Linked DNA regions of Mus musculus. The protein of the gene in region 2 interacts with the protein of the main gene of each other region in a biochemical or structural test. Links are inferred from orthologs where the notes say so. Each region holds a gene or a part of one and is shown on either strand. Other genes may lie near its edges. The genes, in order: Safb, Esr1, Mapk1, Trim24, Ahr, Flii and Prmt2.

Region 1 (3,849 bases), on a different chromosome or scaffold from region 2:
AGAGGCAACAACACAATTTGCTTGTAAACTTCACTCAGACACAGGCACATGAAAGGCCATGGCAGCAACCATTCACCTGTCAGACCTAGAATTTGGTGACCAAAGCTTAGAAGGAATTGAGAGCCAGCTAAAGATCACAGCACATTAGCACTGACACACTTTACCCCGATGCTCCCCTACCCTTCCATTCTCTTCACATTGCAATTAGCCTCCGACCAGCCAATCGGCATTTTCCTAAACCCTGGCCTCTGTGTTACTTTCCAACAAGGAGCCCACCACTTGAGCCGTACCTTTTAGAAACTGATTATGACACCTTGTTTGTATCTTAACAGTGCAAAACAAACCCTTCACTCAAAGCCAGTGTGCTGCCCACAGGCATAGGCTCTCAGTCAGTTCTCATGGCAGGGGACAAAATGCTCACTGTAGGAGATCTGAGGTTTTGTTGGAATACCAGAGGCTTTTGGTCACCAAATCTCCAGGTTTGACAGGCCAAAAAGATGCCCCTGGGTCCTTAATGCCCACTCTCCTCTCTCTAGGCAGACATCAACCCTGTAACCATAAAATCCTTCAGCACATATTGCCTTGAGGCCTGGGAGCTTGAACTTGTACCCTGCAGCAAGTGCCTGGACTCTCACTTACCAGAGCCACACGTTACCTAGGGATGTAACACAGTGCTCAGAAGGCCAGTCTAAACCACTCTAACCATTGCTCTGGTCTCATACATGTCTAAACCACTCTAACCATTGCTCTGGTCTCATACATGACTTGCATGGAGAAGCTGCATCGATGTTGAACAGCTAGAGGCAGCAGCCAGCTGAGCAGAGTGGTTGCTCCAGTTGGCTGTACTCACACACCATACATAACTCAGGCTCCCCTAAGGGACAATGACCAGCAGCAGCTGTCCCTGTTACTCTGCTCTGTCATGAACTTTGCATCAGGCCACCCAGTGCTCCACCCAGCACCAGCTGCTTACAGCATGCTCCTGCAGCTGTTCTGGGAGCCCTTTCAAATCTCCTTCTACCAGTTCAGTGCTGTCTGCTAGGCCCTCAGGGAGTGTGGCCTCCTCCTCTTCCTCCACACAGTCTGCCACGCTGCCATTGTCAATGTCAGCCTCATCCAGCACACTGATGTCCATCATATCCATGTCTTGCAGGTTCTCCAGGCTGGTCTCCACATCCTCCTGCAATACAGAGGACACTGTCATGGCACCGTGCCATCATGGCTCTCCCTCTCCTCATCCACTAAAAAGGTGATGCATACCTGCCCATCCCCAGAATTCTCCTCGAGCCCGTTGTCCTCCACACCCTCGTCTTCTGGTTTCCTCCCTGAAGAGACAGCATGTGGGCATGAGGCCAATAGTCTGTGTCGTGCAAGCAGGTGCCTGAACTTCTGTAGGTCCCAAGCTCTGTTCACTGCACAGACCTGGCCTCTCATCTAGCCAGGTCTCAATGCACTGTGTTTGGGATGCTTATCGTCAACTTGACAGAATGGAGAATCACCTGGGAGACGGGCCACAGGCAAGCAAAAGGTGCACACATTGGGCCAGCAAGGGGGCTCAGCAGGGAAAAGGCACATGTTGCCAAAATTAACCTGAGTTCAATCTATAGAACTCATATGGTGGAACGAAACACCTAGCTTCAGTAAGTGCACATGCAAACACACCAAAAATAAATAAATAAATAAATAAATAAAGTACATGGAATAGAGATTGAAAAGTTGGCTCAGTAGTTAAGAGCATGGGCTACTACTCTTCTTTGTATTCAGGTTCAATTCCTAGGATGCAACGGAAGAGTTTACCATGCCTGACTCTTGTTTTGTGGTGTTGAGCAGGGGTTCCACACTTGAGGATGTGTGGGCACAAAACAAATTTTGAAACACTATGTTATCCTATATCAACGCCCACATGACTTGGGGTGTAGGAAAACATGTAAGCAGGCCATCACATGGGCAGGCTACCCTCACAGGTCTTTTCTCCTCAGGGAGAGCAATGACCTGTCTTCAAGCAGTATCCAATGTCTCTCTGTGCTGGGGATGTTCTACCATGGAGCTGCACTGCACCCCTGGACTCAGGTTAGTCTGAAAAACTGGTCTCCCTCAGAACTGAAGTAAGGTTGTATGTTGGCCCAGTTACCTACCTTAAGCTTGCAGTAATCCTCCTGCCTGTGCTTCCAAGTGCTGGTCATGGGAATGAGCCAGCAAACCTAGTTGGAACCTCATTTCACTGCTCATGAACACCAGACCCTAGGATCTTGTGCACCTGTTCTTTTACTCCACCCTGTAATGGATACACTCACTCACCAGCTCTGACAGTCTGGCCAAGTGGGATTTTGCTATTGTAGCTCTTCCCTCCAAAGAGCACCATTTTTTTCCTTCTCACTATGGAGCAGTATGGAATGTTCTTAGCTATGGTACTTGGCATGATCTCCATTACAGTTAAGTTCTGTGGGGCTGCTGAATTCCTTAACTTCTCTATTAAGTTTTGTATGTGTGTATGAAATATGCGGAAGGGTGGAAGCCAGAGTGTCCAGCTCTCTATAAAGGCTAGTTGGCCTACACAGTGTGTTCTAGGCCAGCCAAAACTATATATAACATGCATCTCCAATAAATAAAACTAAAACATGAAAACCATTCTCGGCTATTTTCCAATATGCTAAAGCATTGTAACCAGATGCTGATGAAGGAAAAGCTGGCTGTGGCTGCAGAAGGGGCCGTCTCAGCAGGGAAGCACAGCGGTAGAGGAGGTACAGTAGACATGGGGAAGGGGCAGGCAGCTGAGCTGGTGGATGGGTGGATGGTGGTAATGACCACAGACAAATGGACAGATAGATAGACTCAAATCTTAAAGTTCTCTGCAGTAATAAACTGCTTCCAGCAAGGTCATACCTCCTCAACCTCCCCAAATAGTAGAAGGAACTAGGGGCTAAGTGCTCAAATGCCTGAACCTGTGGGGACATTCTGATTCAAACCACTGGAGAAGCCATACTGATACTTGATAATTTTTTTCTAACCATGAAACTAACCATAAACACAACCCTCAAAGCAGAGGTCAGGGTGAGGCCATGCCCAGAACATTTGGCCTTTTGTCCCCAAACATGTTACCCCACCACTCCCATCTGAGACAGAGCCCCTCTATATACTCCTGCTCTCGATAGAGCAGGATATACTGAGTGCTGGGATTAAAGGCTAGTACAGTCTTGTCCACCTTCAGGCAGAGGGGTTCACCCTGACATTTTAAGATTCTGCAAAGCCTACCATGGAGAAGCAGAGATAACCTGAGACAGACCTTTCTAGAATTTCAAACCACTGAGTTTAATTCATGAAGCAAGGTAACACTTCTTGCCAAAAATCTTGATCAAAACCCAACAACAGGGTACTTGAGAACTCAGTGACACTACACAACAACCTGTGTGGCAAAGAACTGAGGGAGGAAGGAAAGAACAGACCCTTGCCCTCTGCTGGGCTACAACCACACAAATGTAACATACTCTCAAACTGCAAATCAGCCCTAAGAGTTTGTGGCTCTAGTGCTATATTGGTGAGATTCTAGAATGAGCAAAGCCAACAGCTCCAGGAGGCAGTCAGCACCCTGTATTCTCGAGGGTGACAAGGAGGTGAGATCTTACTAAAATGGTGTTGTTTTCCCCCCCTTCTCACACCCTCACACAATATGCAGAATTAAACCACATACATTAAACCATCTACTTCACCCACTGACAAGGCTGGGGCCTTCCTAGTTTAGAACATAACTCCTATCAATCACAGTGCAATTCCTGACAGCATGGCCACTGCAACTAGCACATACACACAACACAGCCCACAAACCCAGCCATAACAGCTTGGGTCAACCAG
Region 2 (4,371 bases):
ACACACCAACTTTCCTTGACTCATTTTCTTTCTTTTCTACCATCTCTCCTTCTTTTGTTACACAGTTTAGTTGGACTGGCTTGATGAGTGTGACATCATTGTTGACCTACAGGAGGGGCCCCTGTCATCAGGAGTCAACACTATTACCAACAAAGGGTTAGCAATCTTTTTTCCCCCAATATTTATTTATTTGTTTGTTCATCTATACAGTGCTAGATCTCAAACCCATGACTCCCCATATGCTAGGCAAATGCTTCATTACTCACACCGCAACTTCTCGATACTTATTTATATATTAGATATTTATGGTCATTGCTGATTGTTGAGGGAACTTGTCTAAGTCCCGATATAATGACCTTGAGTCTTTCCAAGCACAAAAACGTATAGTTGCAGCATGATATCATTAGTATTTTCTTTCTATTTCTTTCTTTGTACTGGCCCAAGTGCCACTCATATATCTCTTGGTAACTGCCTAGGGTCCTAGGGCTGGAGACCGGCCACTCCTGGCGTTGTGATTAGAGTCACTTAATACCTAAAGTAGTTACTAAACAACAAAGGCTCCTTTAGGCCTCCTGTGTCCTGGGACCCAGGGTGAGGACACAGTCAGAGTACCTTGTTAATCTGTGTTGTACTGTGGTGGAGAGAAGCACTGAGAACCAGGTGTATCCATGGGACAGCACTGGAGGTACAAGATCTCTGTCTGCAACCAATGCTGGTAACTACAGCTGTGAACGTGTAATCGCTTTAACGCAAAGCTATTTTATGGTTCCAACTTTACGATTAAAATAATGCCTCTTCTGGGATGTGTTTACAGACAGTAGTCAGTAGGCTATTGGTAGAGAGGCTGGTAGGTTTGACTAATGAAGTGAGGGAGTCTTGCATTTCAGTTGGAAACATATCCCTGGAATGCCAAAAATATTTATTGCGAAGTCTGACTTTTGTATGTTATTGGTAGCATTGTCACTGAGCATCTTATTCAGGGGAACAGTAGGGCTAGAGGGCTTGACTCATATGTATCCCAGAAGGCTTTTCTTGTTAAATGACATCGTTTAGGAAGAAGATATCCTGGCATAGTTTATAAACTTGATCTCTGCACACTTTGACTGGCATTCTAGTTTATCTGTGAGCCTGTGGTTCACAGCCATCTCAGTTTCCCTCTCCATAGAAAGCACCGGGACATTTCTGGCTCTACAGGTAGGGAGCAAAGGGGGCTGGAGTTTCTTCTAGGAATGCTGATTCTAGCGGGGCTACTGCTGTCCCTCAGCAGACAGCAAGGCTCCCGGACTCCCGCTGCCATTCATCCAGCTCGTGCAGGAGCCCAGCTGCCTTGTCTGCCGGGAGGGGCTGCCAAGTGCCCTGCCTACTGGCTGCTTCCCGAGAGTCCCTGCCACTCCACATACAAACACATCCACACACGCTCTGCCTTGATCACACACCGCGCCACTCGATCATTCGAGCACATTCCTTCCTTCCGTCTTACTGTCTCAGCCCTTGACTTCTACAAACCCATGGAACATTTCTGGAAAGACGCTCTTGAACCAGCAGGGTAGGATCGGCTTTTGATTTCTCTCTCTCTTTCTCTCTCTGTAGCTTGAGCGATTTGAGAAAGCAACTTACCTTTCTGCTTAGTGTCTGTCTCCTAGCTGGAGAAGGAAGCTGTGCTGTTTTTCTATGGGGGGAAATCTGTGCGGCTTTTTTTTTTTTTTTTCCCGCTTTCCGGACTTGTAGGATTCTCTGTGCCATTTATATATAATTTGGCAGGCTCAGATTTTTAAAGAGTCTCATCTGAAGTGCTTGCTTTTGCATGTGTTTTTTAAAAGGCATTTGAAAATTGAAAGTGTGATTTATGGGAACTAAATCATCTACGAAAAAATTGCTCTAGAAAGTCATGGTTGCTGGCCATAAAGAGAAATATCTGCGATTCACCTAATGTATTTTTAACCCTTCCTTTGCTGTCAATGATACTTATGGGTGCTAAAACTCATCTTTGTCTTTAGATTTAAGCCAGCTTAGCTGTGGTTTATCCAAAATTATCTGTTTTTCTAAGAATTAGATAAATAGTGTGCTTAGTAGAAAATATTTTTAAAGTGTTACTATTAGTAACAGCAACCTTGACATTTGCATGTGTCAGGTACTTCTCCTGGGTATATGGGCTAGCAATTCAAGTCATATGCTAATGGTTATTTTAGGGGATATTAGGTTGGGGCATATGCAGTTTATTAAGAAAGTACAAACTATCCAAGCTGCAATTTTTTTCTAAATTTGCAATAACAGGTGTGTGTGAGCTCAATCAGAATTTAATTCAATACTGAATAAAAAACTTATTTTAACTTCTCTGTCATTCGAGTATTAGATTCCTGTGTACCCTATGCCAAGGGAACCCAGAAGGTCCATTTGTAGAATTCAAGAGCTGAAAGGTAGGAGAGCCTTTCAAAAGTTTCTGGTTAGACAGACAAGGTTACCGGATCGCCAGAGCTTTAGTCAAGGACCTCAGGTGATATTTTATGGGAAAATGTCTTAGTCCTTGCATGGTTTTCCCAATTTTTGGTTGCATAACCTGTGGAAGGTAGGGACACCCAAGTGTGCCTAACCGAAGGTTTTTCTGAATCATATCCACATGAGAATTTCTAAAGGAAGCAAATTTGGCACCGGGGTCCAACAAAAACAGAAAAGCTAGGCTGGGCAAAATTGCCATGGCTGTGCTTTCTTGGGGAGCGTTTTAAAAAAATTATTATTTTTATTTTTTTGTCAGAAGAGGAAGCTGAAGGCTGGCAGTTTTCTCTTGACTCCAAGTGCAGCTCTTCCTATACATAGTCCATCTCCACTCGTCTGGCCCTAGATGCCTCCTATCTGTGTCCACTGGTGCTAAATATAGCTGTCGGTGGCTGGCTGCATATGCAATCACACACCCCATCCTATTTGCCATATCTCAGTTACAGATACAGTTACCGTCCCTCCAGGGTCATTCTATGCATACACTGCGTACTTCCAGCCAACAAGAAGACTGAATCAAATAGAAAGGAAGACAAAACAGAGACAGATTGGAGCTTGGCAGAGGCACACAGGCAACACATCAGGAAAAGAAAGAAAGAAAGAAAAAAAGAAAAGAAGAAAGAAAGAAAGAAAATGGCCTGTGGCTTAGTCTGCATTTGTTGCAAACCTAGTCTTCCTTGGGATGGGGGGAGTGGTAGGGGCGCGGCTCCTGGAGGTCCCTTTGCTGCTTTCACCCCCTGCAGCGAAATCCAGCAGCGAAGACCTGGAAAGTTAAGTTCAAGGAAGCTAGCGGTTCCTTGGGTGCACGCACAGTGTGATGTTCCCAGTAGTGCCTGGAAGCTGCAGCCCCTGGCCAGTGGCTTCCAGCAGGTTTGTCTAAGAGCAGAGGAGAGGAGTATGTAAAGTTGGAGAACCCGGGAGCGTCTGGGTGCGCTCCTTGGAGTTGGGTCACCTGTGTTCTGCAGGATAGCTCTGCCCCGCAGGGGCAGAGGCAGGGCCAGGGCCAGTACTCGTGCCAAGGGGGACTTGCGCTGCGCCTTCTCTAATCGCAGGCTCTACTCTTTTTTCCAGGTGGCCCACGCGCTGCTGAGCCCTCTGCGTGCGCGGGGAGCCAGTCTGTAACTCGCCGGCTGCCACTTACCATGACCATGACCCTTCACACCAAAGCCTCGGGAATGGCCTTGCTGCACCAGATCCAAGGGAACGAGCTGGAGCCCCTCAACCGCCCGCAGCTCAAGATGCCCATGGAGAGGGCCCTGGGCGAGGTATACGTGGACAACAGCAAGCCCACTGTGTTCAACTACCCCGAGGGCGCCGCCTACGAGTTCAACGCCGCCGCCGCCGCCGCCGCCGCCGCCTCGGCGCCGGTCTACGGCCAGTCGGGCATCGCCTACGGCCCCGGGTCGGAGGCGGCCGCCTTCAGTGCCAACAGCCTGGGGGCTTTCCCCCAGCTCAACAGCGTGTCGCCTAGCCCGCTGATGCTGCTGCACCCGCCGCCGCAGCTGTCTCCTTTCCTGCACCCGCACGGCCAGCAGGTGCCCTACTACCTGGAGAACGAGCCCAGCGCCTACGCCGTGCGCGACACCGGCCCTCCCGCCTTCTACAGGTACCCGCGCCACATCGGGGTGGCCGCTGTGTAAGGCCTGGCCGGGGGAGGGAGCGCACGAGGGGGGTCACCGCGGGCTGCAGGTCTCCCCATCCCAGCCCTCGGGGAAGTCAGAAAGGATTCTTTGGCAGCTTTAAAACAACAGTAACAACACAAACAACAACAACAACAACAACAACAGCAACAACAACAACAACAACAACAACATTCTCTGCCTGTAGCTGTCTTGTGGGAGAGACAGATCCAAACGGCCCTGTCCCCTAATTACACAA
Region 3 (3,849 bases), on a different chromosome or scaffold from region 2:
CTCACTTTGTAGACCAGGCTGGCTTCGAACTCAGAAATCCGCCTGCCTCTGCCTCCCAAGTGGAATACTGGTCAATCTTGAAGTCTCAACTTCTCTGTTCTCCAAACTGTCCACTATTAACCAATTTCCTCCAAAGCTTAAAGGGCATGGTAGCCAACAAACAACACCCATCTCTTTGGCCCAGAAGCAATGTGTAATTGTATTGCACTGTTTTCTTTGCTTCTTGTCACCAATATCCTCACAGACCAACCCAGAAGTACTGGCCTAGAAATAGCATCGCCACTGAGTCCAATCTCTGCCTTTCTTCCTCATTCTCTAAATTCTGCATATGTATTGTAAGACCATAAGGTGTGTAAAGAAGTTGATGATAATAGGTTCTGCTCTTTAACCTCCACTGCCTAAGCACCTAAAACTTCAGCTAAGCCACATTATTTCTTATGAAAATTAAACTGTAGTAACCTTTTGCTTTTAACATTACTATAATGATGTTTTATTAGGGGAATTTTTGCATTTATTTTTACGCATAAATACTATTCTATTTTCTACAGGCTAAATGAGATCAGTCCCATGCTTGAATTAAGCAAACCTTATTTATAAAAGGTGTTCTTCTCTGACAAAAGGTAACAAGAGCAACACGTGCAGCAGCAGGAGGCTTTCCCTTGCAACACCACCCCACTTACTAACAGACATGCTTACAAAGACAAAAGCTGCCTAGAAACATGGAGCTGCTGTTCCTACAGGTCCTAGGAGGTGGACTCTTCTAGACCAGCTCACCACTGATATCTAATGCTGGCTACAATTACATGTATCAGAATTGATCTGGTCTTCAAGACCTTGAGGTCCAGTCTATTCTATTTTTTATTTTTGTTTTGTTTGAGACGGGATTTCTCTGTGAGGCCCTGGCTTTCCTGGAACTCTTTGTAAACCAGGTTGGCCTCGAGCTTAGATATCCACCTGCTACCACCTCCCAAGTGCTGGGATTAAAGTGCATCACTGTGCTCGACCCAGTTACTTTAAAGATAAGGAAGCTGAGGCTGAAAGAGGAGCACACTAGGACTGTCTGGAAGACACTGATCTGGTCAAGTGTACATCTACTAGAGTACCTACGTCCTGTTGTGAAAGCTTGTTTGACTCCCTTTTCACTATCATAACAGTCATCATGGGATTGGAAATTACATGAATCAACTTTCCAAAACTAAGATTAAAGAAAACTATACAGAAACTGACAAACACTTAACTTATAGAAAGCATATTAAAACTAGTTACAAGAAAAAAGATAAAATTAAAAAAAAATCCTTTGGGGCTGGTGAGATGGCTCAGTGGGTAAGAGCACCCGACTGTTCTTCTGAAGGTCCAGAGTTCAAATCCCAGCAACCACATGGTGGCTCACAGCCATCTGTAACAAGATCTGATGCCCTCTTCTGGAGTGTCTGAAGACAGCTACAGTGTAATTACATATAATAAATAAATAAATCTTAAAAAAAAAAAAATCCTTTAAATACTAGGTAAGCGCAAACATTATAATCTCCTCTTAGCATACTTTTACATATACGGGAAGAGTGATTAAAAAACTCTTTGTGCAAGCTGGGCAATAGTGGCGCATGCCTTTAATCCCAGCACTCAGGAGACAGAGGCAGGTAGATTTCTGAGTTTGAGGCCAGCCTGGTCTACAGAGTGAGTTCCAGAACAGCCAGGGCTATACAGAGAAACCCTGTCTGAAAAAACCCCAACCAACCAACCAAACAGCCAAACACCCCCCCCCCACACACACACAAAAACAAACAAAACAGAAACAACAAAAAAACCCTCTGTGCACTTTTTCTTGATTCCAAGTTATTTACTCTACAAAGTGACCAAGCAGCAGTGGCAGCAGCTAACTTTAGAAAAGGATACACATCTTTCATTTGCTCAATGGTTGGTGCCCGGATGATGTCATTGATGCCAATGATGTTCTCATGTCTGAAGCGCAGTAAGATTTTTATCTCTCTTAGGGTTCTTTGACAGTAGGTCTGGTGCTCAAAAGGACTGATTTTCTTGATAGCAACTCGAACTTTGTTGAGATTATCATAAGCAGAGCTAAAAAAAAAAAAAGAAAGTATGTATATGAAAATTAAAAATAGCTCACTGAATTACTTTGTAGAAGGAACACAAACTTGTAAAGTATTGAAGTTTTAACATCTGTCACATCTGTGTTGATAATTAGTTGATACCTATGGAAGCAGCAGATGTAAAGTAGCAGCAGATGCTGAACCTGACATTTAAGAGCTGCATGGCCTGTTCACGAGACGAATGCCCACTTCTATAAACCTGACACAGGAAACCACCACATTTTCCTACTGTCTTAAAGAGCAGATAACACTTTGATGAAAATGCCATTTCTGCCTCCAAAACAACTATCCATAGTTGTTACTGAATTCTCTGACACAGCAGAAACACCAAATACCACCAACCACATCTTTATCCCTAAAAAAACAAACAAACAACAGTTTTAGAAAGCTTTACTGCCCTTTATCAACCTCTTTCTCCGCCTCTAAATTGTATTTTATGTGTATGGATGTTTTGTCTGCACACTATCTGTACACCTCATGTGTACAGTGGCTTTGGCAAGCATCAGATCCTTTGGAACTAGAGTTCCAGGCAGTTGCTAGCTGCCATATGGGTGCTGGAAATAGAACCTGGGACAAGAGCAGCCATCTCTCCAGCCCAATTACCAACTTTCTTATAAGCAAAACACAGGTCTATTTCTGGTTGTTACTAGGATAATTTTCTAACAAAATCTACAAAGTAACCTTCACAGCCATAGGATGGGAGTTTTTTCCAAGCTATACTTAAGACCCAACTACATAATCCGAAAAGAAGGAAGCAAAATCTTGCTTTTAATTTTAGGATGGTTTAAAAGTTTAAATATAACTACTATCTTTTTTTGGGGGGAGGAGGTCATGGGCCAACAATTTACCTAAATATTTTCTACAAAAGCATTTTATATTAATGTCAACAACTGACCAGTGACTAAAGCACTAAAAATACTGGCAAGCAATAAAATATTTCCTTGTTTCCTTACTAAGTGCTTAAAAAAATGAAATGGTATTTACTGACATCACTACTGATGCCTCTGACTGAGTGTAAAAGTCTGTTTTAGGAGTAGACTTGTCAGTGGCTGCAACCATCTCACAATGCTATTACAGGCTGTGCTGTCCCAAAGCACTTTGAAATGATACACAGTTCTTAAACAGGATGACCATTTAAACATTATTTTCCTTGGTTTGGTAGACGAGGGCCCAAAGCAGTGGTTCATGAGGAGGCAAGCAAAAGCTTGTATAGTTTAGGCAAGTGTACTCAATATTGGGATCTACTTTTAAAGATAAACACCCCCTTTGATAATCGTAACAAGAGCGAGTTTACAGTTAAAACAGGTTTGGGATTGTTGGCTCTGTGCTAGAAAGCTGCCTGGTAGCAGCATAAAGCCCTGGAATTTGATCCTTCAGCATGGTAAAAGTTAAAATTAAGTAAAAGGAAACTTGTAAAACACTGGCCAGAAGAAATTTGACATTATAAATTCTTATTTTTTATAGAACACATTAGTCAAATCTGGTTTGCTTTACAAAATTATAATCTACCAGGACTGGTTTTCATTTGTTTATTTTTATGGCAGGGTCTTTCTTGCTATGACTGTTCTGGAACTCAGATCAGGTACCTCTGCCTCAAGAGCTAGGATTAAAGGTATGGGCACCACAATGGGCTTATCTAAAAAAGTGCTGTTAGAAAAGAATTAAGCATCAGTGTGGCCTTCTACTGTATCACCCGACTTGATAGTGAAATAACCAAACTGACTTCTTTATTGAAAGTGTG
Region 4 (4,484 bases), on a different chromosome or scaffold from region 2:
TAGCTGATTTTAGATTGATCTTTCAAAACTGTGCTGAATTCAATGAGGTGAGATGGGGCGAGGCCACAGCAATGTGGAGAGTGATCTTAACCAGACAGCTTGCCAGCAGGGAGGTCCCAAGGTGTCTGTGCAATGTTGCGTGTCTACCAGGGCATGGCAGAGCTTGCTAAGGAGGCTTATCCACACTGAGTTTGCAAAGGTTTATGTGTGGTAAGTGCAAATCCAAGCCTGCCTGAGGCTGAGACAGTGTAGAGTCAGGATTTATCATTCCTTCCTTTGATTTGCAAGCTATGCATTTTTAGACTTTGACTTCTGAGTTTATCTTGAAATAGTAAGGATGTACCAAACAGTTCTCAGTTAAAATCTACTCAATTCACTTTATATAACTGTGTCTTTTTTGTTCATTGTTGTTTGTTCTTTTGTTGACGTTTCTCATCCTACCCATGATCTTCTTGTCACCTTGCTGGTGTGACCCATCCCTGTCACACCACTCCTTCTGGAAGGAGTCAGTACAAAGTGTAACCCCAGACTAGTATTTTGTTTTATCTTAGTGACATCCCTAAGTACTTTTCCAACAGTCCATTACAAGTTTCATAGTCGTGTGCAAAATAGGAACAGAATTGTGAGAGATTATTTTTATTAACGAAACCTGGGTCTTTTGGGTGTTAATTCCTACCTGTATTTTTATCCCACAGCCTGATTCTGAAGTAGCCAATGCTGGTATAAAACTTGAAAGCTATTTTGAAGAACTTCTAAAGAATCTTTATCCAGAAAAAAGGTTTCCTAAGGTAGAATTCAGGCATGAAGCAGAAGACTGTAAGTTCAGTGACGACTCAGACGATGACTTTGTACAGCCCCGGAAGAAGCGTCTCAAGAGCACCGAGGATCGCCAGCTGCTTAAGTAACGCCGCACTGGGCCAGCGCGCTGTGCTAGAGATTTCTCATCAAAACTAAAGACAGCAAAAGGCTTGTCAGTGATCTAAGGGTTTGTGAGCTCTCTGCTCTGTTTTTGCTGTTTACTGGACTTTGGTTTCTTTCATAACCCATTTCTTTAACCTCTTGTCAATGAAAATAAAAAGAAGAGGAAGGAAGGAAATGTGTACAAGAATAAAAGAAGGAAGAGAAGGTAGAAAAAGAAGAAAGAGCAAAGAAGGAAAAGACATTCTTCCCCTTGTTGGATTTCATACAGGAGCCTGGAGTGAGTGCTACACTAAGAAAGAAATAGAGTTTGACATAAGTTGAGATTTTAGTGTGATCTGGATGTGTGATAATCCATTTTTAGAATATTAATTTCATTACCCATTAATTATGGCCAACTGTAAGGAGATAGTCCTGTTACTATTCTTAAATGAAGTCCTCCCCAAACGTGAATGGAAGCAGAGTTCTTTGCCAGGCTGCCTGCCGGAAAAGGTGTAGACAGATGCTACTAAGACACCAAATAGTGTCCATGTAAGATGGCAACTGCATTAAAAAAAAATCAGGAAAAACAAATGTTTGGTTATTGTTTTGTTTTATCTTGTCTGTTAGAGATGCTGGGCATAGCAGTTCTAAAGGGCCATTCTCTCATGGATTGCTAGATCGGCCTTTTCTTCAGCTTCGGTGAGGGAGGAAGTGTGTGTGTCAAGTGTTGCTGTTTGATCCGCCCCTCCACTCTCCCCTTACTGTGCAGAGCTGCAAGTTGCTAGTGGCTTTTCTTTCTTTTGGGGGGAGAAGGGCGGAGTGGTTGGGTTTTTTGAGACATTATTTCTGCAGTATTACTGTAGTCCTGGCTGTCCTGGAATTCACTCTGTAGACCAGGATGGCCTCAAACTTAGAGACCTACCTGCCGCTGCCTCCCAAATGCTGGGATTAAAAGTGTGAGCCAAAGGCTCACAGTCACACTCAGTAGAAGCATCAAATATACAATAGGGGGCACCAATATTTGATAGATTTCTATAGCTTGTGCCCTGGGGCTGCCCTGTTGAAGTTCCCTGAATGGGCTTTCAATCTGTCTTTCTCATTTCAAATAAGCGGATGTTGTGGAGTTGGGAAGAGATCATTTGGGGGAAGGGGAAGGAATTCTAGGAACTATTCTTTGTTGGCTTTCTGTTTCCTTGATTTGTTTTTTAACAACTTTATATTTCATCTTTGATCTGCCTTAATTCAGAATTTAATTTTCTTTAGGAGAAAAAAGATTCCTTTTGCTTGTTTGGTGGTTTTTTTGGGGGGTGTGGGGGGAGCTCAGATAAACAAAGCACCAAATGAGATTAAGGTAGAATAAAATCATTGAGTACTGTTGTACTAGCCCAATATTTGACAAAATACAATAACAGTTTTAGTTTGCCATAGTAAATTTTTAGTATTAAAGCATTTTAATTGTTTGACTAGAGAAATTTTTTTCTTTAGGTTGACAGAACAGCTGACCTGAGGATTTATTTGGTCACATGACCTCCCCTGAATTAAAATGTAGCTGGACATAGTAGCCGTGGTGGCATGCACACACTCACAATGCCAGCACTTAGAAGGTGGAGGCAGGAGAATGGGAAGTTGAAGGTCATCGTCCGCTGTGTGAGCCGCTGTGGGGGAGGAGCAGGGAGACGGTGACTTCTGTGTAGCATTATTCCAGAGCTACAATTGTTTCTTGCCTTAATAGCAATAGATCCCTTTTATCTAAACAACCTGTATAATACTCGTTATACATGACCACTCTAACAGTCTTCATCCGTTTTCTAAATGTGTGTTGTGTGCTGATGTTTGTCGTGTTGATTTGAACATGCAGCTGGCACTTGTTCTGGAAACAGTCTGAACAAAGTTTGACAGTGCACAGACCCTTGGGGAAATAGGGTTTTATGTTCAGTTCAGTCTGGCCTTCAGCTCTGGCCCTTCTACCTCTACCTCCCTGGTTCAGGGACTAAAGTAGTGTGCGACCATGCCCTCAGCTTTGGGGTTGGTTGGTTTGCTTGCTTGCTTGCTCTCTTGCTAGCTTTATTATTTGTGGGAAGTGGTTACACTTGTGATTTAGTCCAGCATTTTAAGTGTAGCAGCTGTGAACCATTTTTATTTTAATATTTTAAAGATTTATTTTTTTATTTCATATGTATGCATGTTTGTCTGCATATACGTATGTGCATCATGTGTGTGCCTGGTGCCCACCCACCTAGGCTAGAAGAGGGCATTGGATACCCTGGAAGTGACGTTAGAGAGGATGGTCAGACACCGACCGTATGGGTGCTGGGAACCAAACCTGAGTCCTCTGCAAGAGCAATAAATGCTCTTAACCACTGAGCCATCTCAAGCTCCGGCTGTGGAACTCTGAGCAATACCTTTCTTTTTGCTATCTTAGAATACTGTTCTCTGGTAGATTGTCTTCCATAACTGTCACCTGAGTTAAAACAGTACTTATGTAAATTATTTTGAGAATTATCACTAAGGGGGAGGTAGGGCTTAAATAAGGTAAATATAATTTTTATGTATTTTAGCCAGAATGTCTACTGATCTATCCCAGTCACTATTATATTCTATGGCGCAGTAACCTTTCAAAAGAATGTTACATTTCACCATTAACAGTTTTTGCTGAATGAAAGACAGTTGAGTACCATGTTTCCTGTAATGATATTTAATAATATATTAAAAGTAAATGTCTTGAGTTTTTTCTACAAGTAACACTGCTATCCTGACATAATCATTGACAAGAACCAATGTGTTCAGGTGGGTCCAAGCTAAATGGGCTTTACGTGTAATAGAAGCTTAAAGAAAAAAACAAAAACAAAAATCAAACTCTATCCCATATTGATTTTGAGACCACCACCACCCAAACTACAAGGAAAAAAATGTTCATTATGATTTAGCAGTCTTGACCTACACTTATTCCGGCATTTACCTCTGACAGTAACTTAGGAAGTTTGGTTTTCAGAGCCCTGGATCAAAGCTCCAGGATGTATGGTCTTAAAGTGTAAAACCCCTGTCACACACACTGCTCTCCCTGAACGTGATCATTGCCTTTGAAAGATGATTCTAGATATGCAGTCCAAGCTGGGGGTAGGATTTGCTTTTGCTTAACTCCAAGTCAAAAGCTTTCCCTTGTGTTAAGCACCTGAGATCTCTCTGGCAGTAGGGACACTCACAGAAGCATAGATGGACTGAGCAGACAAAAGGCAAATGACACCTTACATCAGAATCTGGCATTATGGTCCCTTTGTGCTTTGAATTCACAGGTCCCACTTCTTTCCTGGACAGGAGTGGGGAGAATAAAACCTCTTCCTCCCATGGTAGTTTTGTTTTTCCAAGCTAAGAATGGGCTTGGTGTTTGGCTGCCACACGAAGGGGTAGGTGCAGAAATGTCACTGAGAATGGTATCAGGAGGCCACCCCCAGTCCGTGGTCACTACACTGCCAGCTGCATTTCCAAGGTGCCTTTGCAGTTCATGGCTGTGAGCAGAACACACATTCTTTGTTTACACTGTTGAACATGCAAAGGAGACCTGAGCCAGACTAATGTGAGTTGTT
Region 5 (3,604 bases), on a different chromosome or scaffold from region 2:
GAAGCACACGCAAATCAACGGCACGTTTGCAAGTTGGAACCCCACCCCTCCCGTGTCTTTCAACTGTCCCCAGCAGGAACTAAAGCACTATCAGCTCTTTTCCAGCTTACAGGGGACTGCTCAGGAATTTCCCTACAAACCAGAGGTGGACAGTGTGCCTTACACACAGAACTTTGCTCCCTGTAATCAGCCTCTGCTTCCAGAACATTCCAAGAGTGTGCAGTTGGACTTCCCTGGAAGGGATTTTGAACCGTCCCTGCATCCCACTACTTCTAATTTAGATTTTGTCAGTTGTTTACAAGTTCCTGAAAACCAAAGTCATGGGATAAACTCACAGTCCGCCATGGTCAGTCCTCAGGCATACTATGCTGGGGCCATGTCCATGTATCAGTGCCAGCCAGGGCCACAGCGCACCCCTGTGGACCAGACGCAGTACAGCTCTGAAATTCCAGGTTCTCAGGCATTCCTAAGCAAGGTAAGGGCTTTCGACAGCTGAAAAAACCTTGTAGGCCTAAGCATCTCTGTATTACACTTAAACATATCATCATAACCCATTTTAGATAGCAAGCAACTTCGGAACTGCTTTCGTTATATTTATGGTCACGTAATTAACTTCATTATAGTTTACTTAAAATAGTATGAATAATAAATTATTTTAAATAATTTTCTTAAAAGCAAGTTGATGTTTAGATAATTTAATAACTGTTCTTTGTTACCCCCTCAGGAGGATATCATGCTTATATTAATAAATTTCTCTTTACAAATATTAGCTTATTTGAAGATATACTGGTTTAGATTGTAAGAATATCTTGACTAACATGAAGTTTATTAAGTAACTATTCATGAGCTGTTTGAGTATAGCCATTTAAAAGTGTGGCTTAAATCACAGTCCTGGTTGCTTTTTAGATTGTGAGTGAATCTGCTGTGTCTGATTGTATGGGACTTTTTTTTTTTTGAATGGAGAATGAAGATGATAGTTTTGGTCAATCTTTTTCCTGAAAATTTTTAGGAAAAAGATTTCCTAAAAATTTTTAATAGTTATTATAAAGAAAATGGATTAACCATACTTTGGATATAATTTACTCATAAAAGAATAGAATATTAGTATTTGCCTCAAAGCGGTGTGTCTGAAGGACATTATAGAATATAGAGAGCATCCATGTGTGCAAACCTCCAAGGCTGATCCCTCAGATGCTGGAAATGGCCGCAGAGTGGGGCTGGCTATTGGGTAGTAACAGACAGATAGTGGGAGTAACTTCGGCTCTTCTACAACATAGCAGGATGACAGAAGTTCACAACAGTTCATTGCATGATTCAAAATCACTAGAAAAAAAGGAAATCAAAGGTTCTTCATGCAAATAACAGATGAGTGTTCACAGTGAAAGATAATTGCCTGATTTGCTTACACACTATATAGATGAATTGAAATGTCACATTGTAACCTGTTCATATGAGTAATTGTGCGGCAGTGAAAAAAATAACAACATTTCTAGCCTGGAGAGATGGCTTGGCAATTAACATTTGCTTACCCTTCTTGATCCCCAGCACCCACATGGGAGCTCAGAACAGTCCACAGTTTCCACTTCCAGGCACCCAGTGCTCTCTCTGCACCCTTGAGCACTGCATACTTGTGTTGCACATGCACGTGTGTGTGTGTGTGTGTGTGTGTGTGTGTGTGTGTGTGTGTGTATACATACAAACATACATCATGCAGGCAAAACAACTATACACATAATATTTTATTCTTAATTTATTATTTTTGAAATGAACCATAATTGTATTCCTTTTCTGTTTCCCTTTTTTTTCTACAACCTTTCCCATCTACCATGTTTGCTCTCTTTCAGTTTCTTGGCCTCTTTTCTTTCATTGCTCTGTGTGTGTGTGTGTTCCTAAATATTTAAATACAACCTGCACAGTCTGTATATTACCTGTAGGACAACCCTGAGCAGCAACTCAAAAGGGTTTTTCTCATGCCTGGTGTTGGGGCTGTAGAGTGAATTTGAAGACAGTCTGGAAAATGGTGAGACACAGAACAAAAGGTCAAGAGTATAGCTAGCTCAGTGGTCGAGCCGGGTTAGCATGCACAAGGCCCTTCACTGGACCTCCAGCACTACACAAGAAGTGAGTAATTTGAGGCAACTAAAGGGATAATTTTATGATTTTTATTTTAATCTCAGTTTATTTCATCAACTACACCACAATGTGAAGTTTCTGTAGACTATAACTGTTATATTCGTTCTTCACTGTTTTAGCAGTTCTGGATATGAGACTGGTAAGAAGGCAGGTGTCTTAGTTAGGGTGTGAGGAAACAGCGTGACCAAAAGCTGTCTGAGAAGAAAGAGTTTAAATCACTCACAGCTCCACATAACAGGTCATCATCAAAAGCAGTAGGGTCAGGACCTCAAGCAGGGCAGGAACCTGGAGGCAGAAGCTCATGCAGAGGCCATGGCAGAGTACTTTCTACTGGATTGCCTTCTATTGCTTGCTCAGCCTGCTTTCTTATAGAGCCACACAATAGGCTGAGCCTACATCAATCACTAATTAAGAAAATGCCCTACAGGCTTGCCTGCCTACAGCCAGATTAGTGGAGGCATTTTCTCAATTGAGGCTGTCTCCCCTCAGTGACCTTAGCCGAGTCAAGTTGACATAAAACTAGCCAAACAACTGACTCCTTGTCAACCTGACACAAAACATTTTTCAGACAGAACCTTTCCTTTCGCATTTATCCCCAAGATAGCACATTAATATTACTACCACAATATAAAACATAAATGACTTTAAAAGTCCCACAGTCTTTACAAATGTGAGCACATTAAAAGTTCAATCTCTTTGAAATAACCATTCTCTTTAAAAAATTGGTTTTGTTTGTTTGTTTTTAAAAAAAGCCTTCAGCCCGTGCTGGGGCTACAGTTTGATCTTTTCTCAATTGAGAAATTCCTCTCTGATGCAACTAGCTAACCAAGCATCTTTTTTATTTGGTAACTTGCAGAACAATTTATTAAACACATTTTACAAATAAATTGGATTAAGATCATACCTGTAGTGTAACATTGCAAGAATAGCAAGAAACATTTAAAATCCAGATCTGGGCAAAAGTGCTGGTGTCTGAAATGCTGTGTAGAAGTTCGGATAGAATCAGTTCACTGCCTCCAGGTTTTTGATTGGTTGTGGCAGGACTGAATAACCCTTTGACACCCCATGTCACATAATTTCCCATCAGGCCCCAAGGCAGACGAAGTGAGATAGTTGTAGCGTTCGCTGTACCATCTTTAAATTATCTTGTAGGACTAATGAGAAAACCTGATCTTCCAAAAGAAGTCAGTGTGTGAGCGTTTCCTCTGTGTGATTTGAATGACGAAAGACTTAGCCATGAGCATCATCAGTACAGGACTGTAAAGTGAAACAACCCATAGGTCTAACAGACTAAAAGTCGTTTTTAAGGTCTTCCTCAGATCCTAACAAGCTGCTGTGCTGTGTTTGTTCTCAGGTGCAGAGTTGAGGTGTTTTCAATGAAACCTATTCGTCCGACTTGAGCAGCATTGGCCACGCTGCTCAGACCACTGGCCATCTCCATCACCTGGCGGAAGCCCGGCCTCTTCCCGAT
Region 6 (3,970 bases), on a different chromosome or scaffold from region 2:
GATGTATTCATCTGGCTGGGCCGCAAGTCCCCACGCCTAGTGCGTGCAGCAGCACTCAAACTTGGCCAGGAGCTATGTGGGATGCTACACCGGCCACGACATACAGTGGTCAGCCGCAGCCTGGAGGGCACCGAGGCCCAGGTATGCCCCCACACCCAGAAGCCTGCTCATCATGCCCTATGCCCTCTGCTGCTGGCCAACTACTACAGAGGTGGCCAAATCCACTTTTCTTTGCTGAACCACCCCCTCTGTAGCCTGTCCCAACTTCTGTTTGCTAAGCTACACCTCCCCAAGCCCTAGCTCCAGCTCCTGGTAGACGCTACCCCGAGTGCTAACCAGCTTTTCCAGGCCTACACAATCCCTCTAGCCTCTCCAGCCTCTGACCTTAGTTGTGCTATGCCCCTCCAGCTATGGCATTACACTGTTCAACACAGGTGTTCAAGGCCAAGTTCAAGAACTGGGACGATGTGTTGACAGTGGACTACACACGGAATGCAGAGGCTGTGCTTCAGGGCCAGGGCCTCTCTGGGAAGGTGAAGCGTGACACTGAGAAGACAGACCAGATGAAGGCTGACCTCACTGCACTCTTCCTACCTCGGCAGCCCCCCATGCCCCTGGCTGAGGTGGGTGAGGCCTCTGTGTGTGTGCGGAGGGGGAGGGGAGGCGGGGGGGACATGAGAGGGAGGGGCTCTGCACAGCATGGTGCTCACATCTCCTTGATGACGGCTAACAGGCAGAGCAGCTGATGGAGGAGTGGAATGAGGACCTGGATGGCATGGAGGGCTTCGTGCTGGAGGGCCGCAAGTTCACTCGACTGCCAGAGGAGGAGTTTGGCCACTTCTACACACAGGACTGCTATGTCTTCCTCTGCAGGTGCCAGAGCAAAACCTCAGCCTCTTGTTCTTTTCCCTGTGCAACCCTTGCTCACCACTGTTTGAATCGCAGGTACTGGGTACCTGTGGAGTACGAGGAGGAAGAGAAGACAGAAGACAAGGAGGGGAAGGCCTCGGCAGAGGCCAGAGAAGGGGAGGAAGCAGCAGCGGAGGCAGAGGAGAAGCAGCCAGAGGAGGACTTTCAGTGCATCGTTTACTTCTGGCAGGGCCGGGAGGCCTCCAACATGGGCTGGCTGACCTTCACATTCAGTCTTCAGAAGAAGTTTGAGAGCCTCTTCCCTGGCAAGCTGGAGGTGTGTATTCACACAAGCCCTGAACTGTGCCCCATGGCCTGTGCTTGGGATGGTAGTATGATCAAACCAGGCCTGAGGGAGCTTGGCCCTTGGAGGCAGGGTCTAGGGAACTACCCAGCACTTCTGATCTCCAGGTAGTACGTATGACACAGCAGCAGGAGAACCCCAAGTTCCTATCCCATTTCAAAAGAAAGTTCATCATTCACCGAGGCAAGAGGAAGGTGACCCAGGGTACTCTTCAGCCGACCCTCTATCAGATCCGCACCAACGGCAGTGCCCTCTGCACCCGGTGGGTACCTGGCTTGGGGAGGGGACAGGATTCCATGGTGGAGGTAACACTGCTGACACCACCACCCCCTCCCCAGGTGCATCCAGATTAACACTGACTCCAGCCTTCTCAACTCTGAGTTCTGCTTCATCCTCAAGGTGAGGCTGTGGGCAGGACAGCAGAGCAGGGTGGTGGGCAAGAATCAAGCTGACCCAAGCACTTGTGCATACCCAGGTCCCCTTTGAAAGCGAGGACAACCAAGGCATTGTGTATGCCTGGGTAGGTCGGGCATCAGACCCCGACGAAGCCAAGCTGGCAGAGGACATCCTGAACACTATGTTTGATGCATCCTACAGCAAACAGGTGACAGAGGTGGGGGCAGGCAGGAAGGGAAGAGCAGATGAGGGCCCTGGCTGACCAGCCCTTCTCACAGGTCATCAATGAAGGCGAGGAGCCAGAGAACTTCTTCTGGGTAGGCATTGGTGCACAGAAACCCTATGATGACGATGCGGAGTACATGAAGCACACGAGGCTCTTCAGGTGAGTACCCCTCATCCCTCCCCTAGCTTCTGTGCACACACGGGGACACACAAGGCCTATGACAATGACACAAAGTACATGAAGCACACAGGGCTCTTCAGGTGGATCCTTCTAACCTTGCCCTTCACCTTGGCTGTTGCCCGACAGGTGCTCCAATGAGAAGGGTTACTTCGCAGTGACTGAGAAATGCTCTGACTTTTGCCAAGATGACCTGGCAGACGATGACATCATGCTGCTAGACAATGGCCAAGAAGTGAGACATTCTCCCACCTCAGAGCCTGCCTTCTGGATTAAGATGAGACGCTATAGCTGGGAATACTGGGGCCAGGGGCAGCCTTCCCACCAGCCACATGTGGAGCACTGAGCATCATATACAAAGGCCCTGGGCTCAGTTGTTTTTTTTTTTTCAGAGACAAGGTTTCTCTGTATAGTATTGGCTGTCCTGGAATTCACTTTGTAGACCAGGCTGGCCTCGAACTCAGAAATCCGCCTGTCTCTGCCTCCCAAGTGCTGGGATTAAAGGCGTGCGCCACCACTGCCCAGCCTGGGCTCAGTTTTTTTTTAAAAGCACTATAAACATCAAAAGGGCCAAGAAACCCATGTGACCATTTCATCCTCTGTATCCTCAGGTCTACATGTGGGTTGGGACCCAGACAAGCCAAGTGGAGATCAAACTGAGTCTGAAGGCTTGCCAGGTAAGAGATTACTGAAGCCAGCCTGACGGTTTCAGGAGCCACTTGTCCCTCCCTCATCCTGGATAGACGTTGAGGAAGGGGCACAGTGGTCAGTCCAGCAGGCCTTAGAGGACTACCCAGGCCCATTGTTTTTCTTACCAGGTATACATCCAGCACACACGCTCTAAAGAACATGAGCGGCCACGTCGCCTGCGCCTGGTCCGCAAAGGTAATGAGCAGCGCGCCTTCACCCGCTGCTTCCACGCCTGGAGCACGTTCCGCCAAGCCCCAGCCTAAGCAGTACCTATGACCTCAGACTCCAGTGAGGAAGAGGAGGACTCCTCGTACCTGCTTCAGCTAGCCACAGCCTGCAAGCAGCACACAGCCCCAAGCCCCACCAGTGTGTCCACATGTGTGCAGATGTAGTTTAAAAGATATTAAATGCTTTTATTTTCAATATTAAAAAATCAGTACTTTTAATATTAAAACAACTAGTTTTTAAAAAAAGACAGAAAAGCCGAAGGTGGCATCTACAGGGAAGCCCATCCTCACTGCCGCACACACACGTGCACACACACGCACACACACACCTCTGACTGACTTCAGTCATGACGCCCAGCAGTCTCTAGTCACAGGAGCACACAATACACACAGGCCAGGAGCAAGTACCAAAACTGCTTTAGAAATGACTGGCCAGCTCAGTCCAGGCGTTAGAAAAATACTCTGCTTGAGGAGAAAGGAAGTACAGTATGGAGTGCAAAAGGATGCTCGCACCCCTCCGGCTGAGCTTGAGGCTGGGATGTGTTCAGGGCCCAGCATCAGTCAGCGGGTCCGTGTTAAGGGGCAAGGCAAGACCGACAGATGGTGACGACTAAGGGGAGCAAACCCAGGTCATGCCTGCCTGCGGGGTAGGCAGCCCCTTTCAGTGATGGCCCAAGATGGGCTTGCTGGGGAGCTAGGAGGGTACCAAGTAGAAGAGGGTATGGTTAGTTATCTATGCCCAATGTAGGCTGCAGAGGCACTAGCTACTAAGGTCCAGAGAGCTCCAGTCTCCAGCTAGGCTGGGTCCATAGCAAGATACGGTAGGGGCACATAAGGTCCATGTGCTGGCTCAATAGGCAGGACCTATCAGCCTCAGTGACTCTCCTGTGAAATGGGCTCTGTGGACTGGATAAGCATCAACTCCTACACCCACAGGGTCAGAGGTGGCCTTCTAAATGCACAGGATTTCAGTGCTGCCAGGCCAGGCCCTTTCATGACTGTGGATCCCCTATGCCTGACAGCCAGAGGAAGGCAGCTAGG
Region 7 (4,457 bases), about 72 Mb from region 2:
TACAAAGCCACATTCTTTATTCAGCCACCACAGGTACCCTTTCCTATGTTAGGTTAGCAAGGGTGGATCCTAGTGCCTGGAGCCTGAGCTTCGTGGCACCAGCAGGCTTTCAAGAATAGGTCTCAGGCCTGCCACACTGGGGGCTCTGAGGACAGTTTTTTCTGCCTTGGAAGATTGTGGGAAACTCTTTTCAACCTGTGGCATCCTGGCTCAGAGCTTCAGCCCTCTTCATCTGGTGGAAATGGAAAACTGGGCAGATTTAAAAAAAGGACCAGGTCCTCACACAGACAGACCCATCCCTTGGCTGCAGTTCATTGTGCGACTCCACTGAACCGATGGACTGAAGGCACAACAGGTGTGGTTTGCACAAGCCTTGCAAGCCCTGAGATGCCTCACAGCAGGTTTGGAATGATTGATTATGTTATGAGCTGTGGTGTTTCTACTGCACGAACCGAAGCATGATGGTTTAATTATAGAAAACAAAGAATTTTAATATTTCCCTATCATTCCTCAGCATGTATTAGAGTGTCTAGATTATATTGGACAAACGCATCCACCTAATTAGTATGCAAATCTGCTTTTGTCTCTAGTCAGTGGTAAAATTGTGTGTATGCCGAGTTTTACAATAAATTCTTTTCTGATTCACTTATCAGTAAATGTTTGATTCGTATGCCTATTTTAGATACCTAGAGTCGCTGAAAAACTTTCTGAGTAGGATGGGATTGCTAGTGGAGAAAGCTTAAGAAACCTTGCTTAGGGTCACCTGATGTCAGTGTCATTGCTCCTCCGCCCCCAACCCCTTCAGCACAGGATCTTCAGGACTTGGGGTCTCTGGTGTGTTTCGTGTCTCAGTAGCTATGTTGGTTCCACGATCAAAACTTAGTCCAAGATACTGTAGGGGGGTCCCATTCTGCAGAAGCTGATTCAGATCAAAACTAGGTTATTAAGCATTCGGAGAAGGGCATCAAACACACCGGCAGTCCCAGGTACACTCAGGACAGCGCTAGTACGCACTCCTGCTTCAGCCTGCCAATTGTTGCCTCGGTTCGAATCCGCTGGGGGCGCGGTCTACACCACCTGTGGCCTCCAACCCGGAGTCCAGTCTTCCCACAGATCTCCCGGTAAGTCGATCCTTACACTTTCTCACCTGCGTCTTGCAGCCTTAAGGCCCAATGCGACCGGCCGGAAGCAGGGACAGAAAATGCGCTTGCGCTGAGTGACAAGCTCTTAGAGAAAACCCCTGTCTCAAGACTATCTACAGCTACCAGCACCGAGTTTATACACACTGCGCTTGCGCAGGACACCCAGGCCTGGGCGGGGCGTGCTCTTCGGCCAGCTGGAGTGCTCCGCGCTTGCGCAGGTCCAGGGCGGCGGCTCAGGCTTCGGGTGGGCATCGTCTGTTCCTTTCTGGTATAGCCTAGAATTCAGCGGAGAAACGCGGCTGAGGTAGGTTTCTTAATGGACAGCTTAGACATCTGGATCGCAAGTGAGGCAGGGCAAGCTAGGCAAAAGGTCTTCCCTGTGCATGTCTCCAGCGCACTGAGGCCTCCGCCCCCTCTGGAGGCTTTAGAGTGCCCTCTCGAAGGTTCTATTCCAGCTACCCCCTCCCCTTTTCTCAGCACCGTCCGCCCTCTTCGCTCTCCTTTCGCTGCACCTCTCAATTCCCCCTGCGCACCTCCGCTGGCTCTTAGAGCCACGCCCTTCCAGGACCACGCCCACCTGCCTTCTGTATCCCGAGCCACATCCCCCATGCCTCTATATTCTTGGCCTCTATGGCCTCATCTGCTTGGCCTGGAGAACCCTCCAATTCATTGTCTTTCTTCCTCCGGGCACCCTCCCAGGCTTTTCACTGAAAATATAATTGTAAATAATTTGTGATTCTAATTATTACGAAGTAAGTATGAAGTCCAGATCTGGACGCACAACAGGCGTTTAAACAAAGAATCGATGTAATCTCAGAGCCAGTTAGGGTTACATTGCCCCTGGGGGTAAAAAAATAGAATTAAAGAACAGGAGGGTGTCGGGCATGGGGATTTCAGTTCTGCCTGTGGGTTAGGTCAAGTACTGGGCAAGGTGTTTTAATTTGAGTTTAAGCTATTAAGTGTTCCTAAAAAAAATGATACTGATTTATTCTAAGTAAAAAGAGGCTTCATAAATATCTCTTAAAAAAGGAGACTTCAGAGGAATAAATCTAGCATATTAAAGGAAGCACACAGCATTTGGATTTTTTAATTTAAAAAGCCCTCTAATGAATTGTGATGATAAAACGCCAATCCTGTTCCATTCTTAACACATACAGTAAACTGTAGCCGTGAAATGAGATTACTGACCAGGCAGTGTAACACTTTGTGCTTCTCTCTCTTCTTTCAAGTAGGCATGGGAGAGAAACTGAAGTAAAGCCCCAGTTATGAGACATGATCATATTGAACTATGGAGGCACCAGGAGAAGGTCCCTGCAGCGAGTCACAGGTCATCCCGGTTCTGGTACGTAAGAGCCACGTGTAATGATCATACAGAGGAACAGTACCAGCTTACAGGGGTGATGTCACTCTCCTTGTCTCTCAAGGTCCTGGCTCACAGGAGGATGCTTGAATTTAGAGAACGTTGAGGCAGGGGGATGGGTCTGGTCATTAGGTCCCATGCTGTGTATTGTCATGAACACTTCAGGGGACACTTCAGCATGCTTCAGATTCTTGTACTTGTTCTTAGATGGCCGTAGCATAGGACCAGGAAAATGCTTGGTACTCGAGAAGATCTGTCTTGGGTACGTATATTCAGTTTGATCCATGTTACCAGAGAAAAGATCTCCTTCAATCTTAAGGAATATTGATTATGTACAGTTAATGAAATGACTATTCAAATAAAAAGGTTTATTAAAAAAATCAAGATTTTCATGTCTGTGGTGTCAGCATCAGCCAGTTTTGTGTCCCTTTTAATGGTATGCCTTCCCTTGGGTTTTAATTTATTCAATTACTTAACTTATTGATATAGGGTCTTACTGTGCATCTATGGCTGGCCTGGAACTGCTATGTAGACATGACTGGTCTCAAATTCACAGAGATCAGCCTGCCTCTGGCTCCTGAACACTGGAATTAAAAGCCTCCGTGCCCAGTGACTGGGTATGTATGTACTGGGCATATTTATATGTAGGATTTATTTTTCATTTCATTCATCATTTTCCATCTTCAGCTGCAGAATGTTTTAATTCTACGAATGCCCAGTGTTTCTTTTGGGAAATGTAAATATTAAGACAACTATAAAATAATATTGTAGACACTGAGGATCTGTCATGCAGAGATGAAAACGTAATACACTGTCACAGTTTTCTCAAAACATGCGCGCACGCGCGCACGCACACACACACACACACACACACACACACACACAAGATTAACGTCATAATCTGTTCTCAAGTCCAGAACGGTTCCTTCCACTTTTAGAGGCTGCTTTGTGTCTGCTTGTGCACCGTCTGTACCTTTATGAACTTATAAGGGTCCCCAGGCCAGCCACAACTAAGCAGTCCAATCAAACAAAATGAAGGATCCCTGAACAAAAGTTTGAGTTTGCTGTGTGTGTGTTTTCTGAGGCTTGTGTTGGTGCTGTTGCGGTTTCTGCATCTATGGAGTGTTACCTGGGCAGTTTGGCTACTTACTGCTGGGTCTCCTGCATGTGCTCTGTCTGTGAGTGTACAGCAGTGTAGGGACGTAGGGATTGCCGTAGGGATGCTGTGGTCTCTAAACCACTATGCATCGGGTCTCACTGTTAACCTTTCACTGGGAGCTCAGATGTAGTCCCCATCTCCTCCCGCGCCTCCCCATGGTACTGTGGTGAGTACCTGTTGCCATAGCTGGTGCTTCAGGTAAGAGGCTCAGTGATGGCTTTGTGGAGCTTTGAGGGTGGAAGAACCACATATTTTTGAGTTTCCAAGTGACTTCCCGTGATCACTGGTCTCCAGTAGCCCAACAGTGTCAGTAGATAACACCTTAATTGTGGTCAGTTAGGCAGCTTAGAAATGACTTCTGATTGCCCCAGTGACAGAAGACTCTCAGGAGTGTCTCAGCAGTTCTGTTAATATTGGACCCTACTAGGGAAGAGGTGCTGTTCTAGGAATTTATATTTCCCTTTTTACAGGGCCCGTTTTACCTTGTTAAAGAATCAGTTTTTTTTAATTGAATTTCTCTTTTGTTTTCTGTTTGATTTCTTTTAAGATCGAATCATTCATATATATATATTTGATATTTGACATGGAAGGCTGTATCACTGACTATTTCTTCTCTAACTTTTGAGCTTTAAAGACTTCACTTTTCCTTGAAACACTGCTTTATCTGCACCTCGTCCATTTAAATGTTCTATGTTTCCATTATTGTTAAAATATTTTTAATGCATCATCATGGAAATTAGAAAAAAAATTGCGAGTCTATTTGGAAGTATCTTGATTTCTAAGTATTAGGGCGTTA

The links.
Region 1: the proteins of Esr1 (region 2) and Safb form a complex in vitro, tested with the Homo sapiens proteins (2 studies listed by BioGRID). The link is inferred for Mus musculus from reciprocal best matches to the Homo sapiens genes ESR1 and SAFB.
Region 3: of the proteins of Esr1 (region 2) and Mapk1, one has a biochemical effect on the other in vitro, tested with the Homo sapiens proteins (3 studies listed by BioGRID, with this or other methods). The link is inferred for Mus musculus from reciprocal best matches to the Homo sapiens genes ESR1 and MAPK1.
Region 4: the proteins of Esr1 (region 2) and Trim24 form a complex in vitro, tested with the Homo sapiens proteins (4 studies listed by BioGRID). The link is inferred for Mus musculus from reciprocal best matches to the Homo sapiens genes ESR1 and TRIM24.
Region 5: the proteins of Esr1 (region 2) and Ahr form a complex in vitro, tested with the Homo sapiens proteins (4 studies listed by BioGRID, with this or other methods). The link is inferred for Mus musculus from reciprocal best matches to the Homo sapiens genes ESR1 and AHR.
Region 6: the proteins of Esr1 (region 2) and Flii form a complex in vitro, tested with the Homo sapiens proteins (2 studies listed by BioGRID). The link is inferred for Mus musculus from reciprocal best matches to the Homo sapiens genes ESR1 and FLII.
Region 7: the proteins of Esr1 (region 2) and Prmt2 form a complex in vitro, tested with the Homo sapiens proteins (2 studies listed by BioGRID and IntAct). The link is inferred for Mus musculus from reciprocal best matches to the Homo sapiens genes ESR1 and PRMT2.

Annotation. Positions count from the first base shown.
Region 1 is NC_000083.6:56,591,166-56,595,014, reverse strand, and holds part of Safb (scaffold attachment factor B1), read right to left. Parts: intron 1,326-3,849; coding exon 1,261-1,325; intron 1,181-1,260; coding exon 974-1,180; intron 1-973. UniProt on the Homo sapiens protein: Binds to scaffold/matrix attachment region (S/MAR) DNA and forms a molecular assembly point to allow the formation of a 'transcriptosomal' complex (consisting of SR proteins and RNA polymerase II) coupling transcription and RNA processing.
Region 2 is NC_000076.6:4,708,749-4,713,119, forward strand, and holds the start of Esr1 (estrogen receptor), read left to right. Parts: upstream 1-1,409; 5' UTR 1,410-1,546; intron 1,547-3,217; exon of another isoform or gene 3,218-3,363; intron 3,364-3,564; 5' UTR 3,565-3,635; coding exon 3,636-4,099; intron 4,100-4,371.
Region 3 is NC_000082.6:17,014,125-17,017,973, reverse strand, and holds part of Mapk1 (mitogen-activated protein kinase 1), read right to left. Parts: intron 2,077-3,849; coding exon 1,894-2,076; intron 1-1,893. UniProt on the Homo sapiens protein: Serine/threonine kinase which acts as an essential component of the MAP kinase signal transduction pathway. MAPK1/ERK2 and MAPK3/ERK1 are the 2 MAPKs which play an important role in the MAPK/ERK cascade.
Region 4 is NC_000072.6:37,964,806-37,969,289, forward strand, and holds the end of Trim24 (transcription intermediary factor 1-alpha), read left to right. Parts: coding exon 1-47; intron 48-695; coding exon 696-905; 3' UTR 906-3,640; downstream 3,641-4,484. UniProt on the Homo sapiens protein: Transcriptional coactivator that interacts with numerous nuclear receptors and coactivators and modulates the transcription of target genes.
Region 5 is NC_000078.6:35,500,584-35,504,187, reverse strand, and holds part of Ahr (aryl hydrocarbon receptor), read left to right. Parts: coding exon 1-475; intron 476-3,487; coding exon 3,488-3,499; 3' UTR 3,500-3,604. UniProt on the Homo sapiens protein: Ligand-activated transcription factor that enables cells to adapt to changing conditions by sensing compounds from the environment, diet, microbiome and cellular metabolism, and which plays important roles in development, immunity and cancer.
Region 6 is NC_000077.6:60,713,308-60,717,277, reverse strand, and holds the end of Flii (protein flightless-1 homolog), read left to right. Parts: coding exon 1-141; intron 142-434; coding exon 435-623; intron 624-733; coding exon 734-873; intron 874-945; coding exon 946-1,186; intron 1,187-1,320; coding exon 1,321-1,475; intron 1,476-1,551; coding exon 1,552-1,612; intron 1,613-1,688; coding exon 1,689-1,817; intron 1,818-1,887; coding exon 1,888-1,994; intron 1,995-2,141; coding exon 2,142-2,247; intron 2,248-2,623; coding exon 2,624-2,689; intron 2,690-2,830; coding exon 2,831-2,965; 3' UTR 2,966-3,135; downstream 3,136-3,970. UniProt on the Homo sapiens protein: Is a regulator of actin polymerization, required for proper myofibril organization and regulation of the length of sarcomeric thin filaments. It also plays a role in the assembly of cardiomyocyte cell adhesion complexes.
Region 7 is NC_000076.6:76,234,739-76,239,195, reverse strand, and holds the start of Prmt2 (protein arginine N-methyltransferase 2), read left to right. Parts: upstream 1-1,330; 5' UTR 1,331-1,446; intron 1,447-2,371; exon of another isoform or gene 2,372-2,374; 5' UTR 2,375-2,430; coding exon 2,431-2,484; intron 2,485-4,457. UniProt on the Homo sapiens protein: Arginine methyltransferase that methylates the guanidino nitrogens of arginyl residues in proteins such as STAT3, FBL, histone H4. Acts as a coactivator (with NCOA2) of the androgen receptor (AR)-mediated transactivation.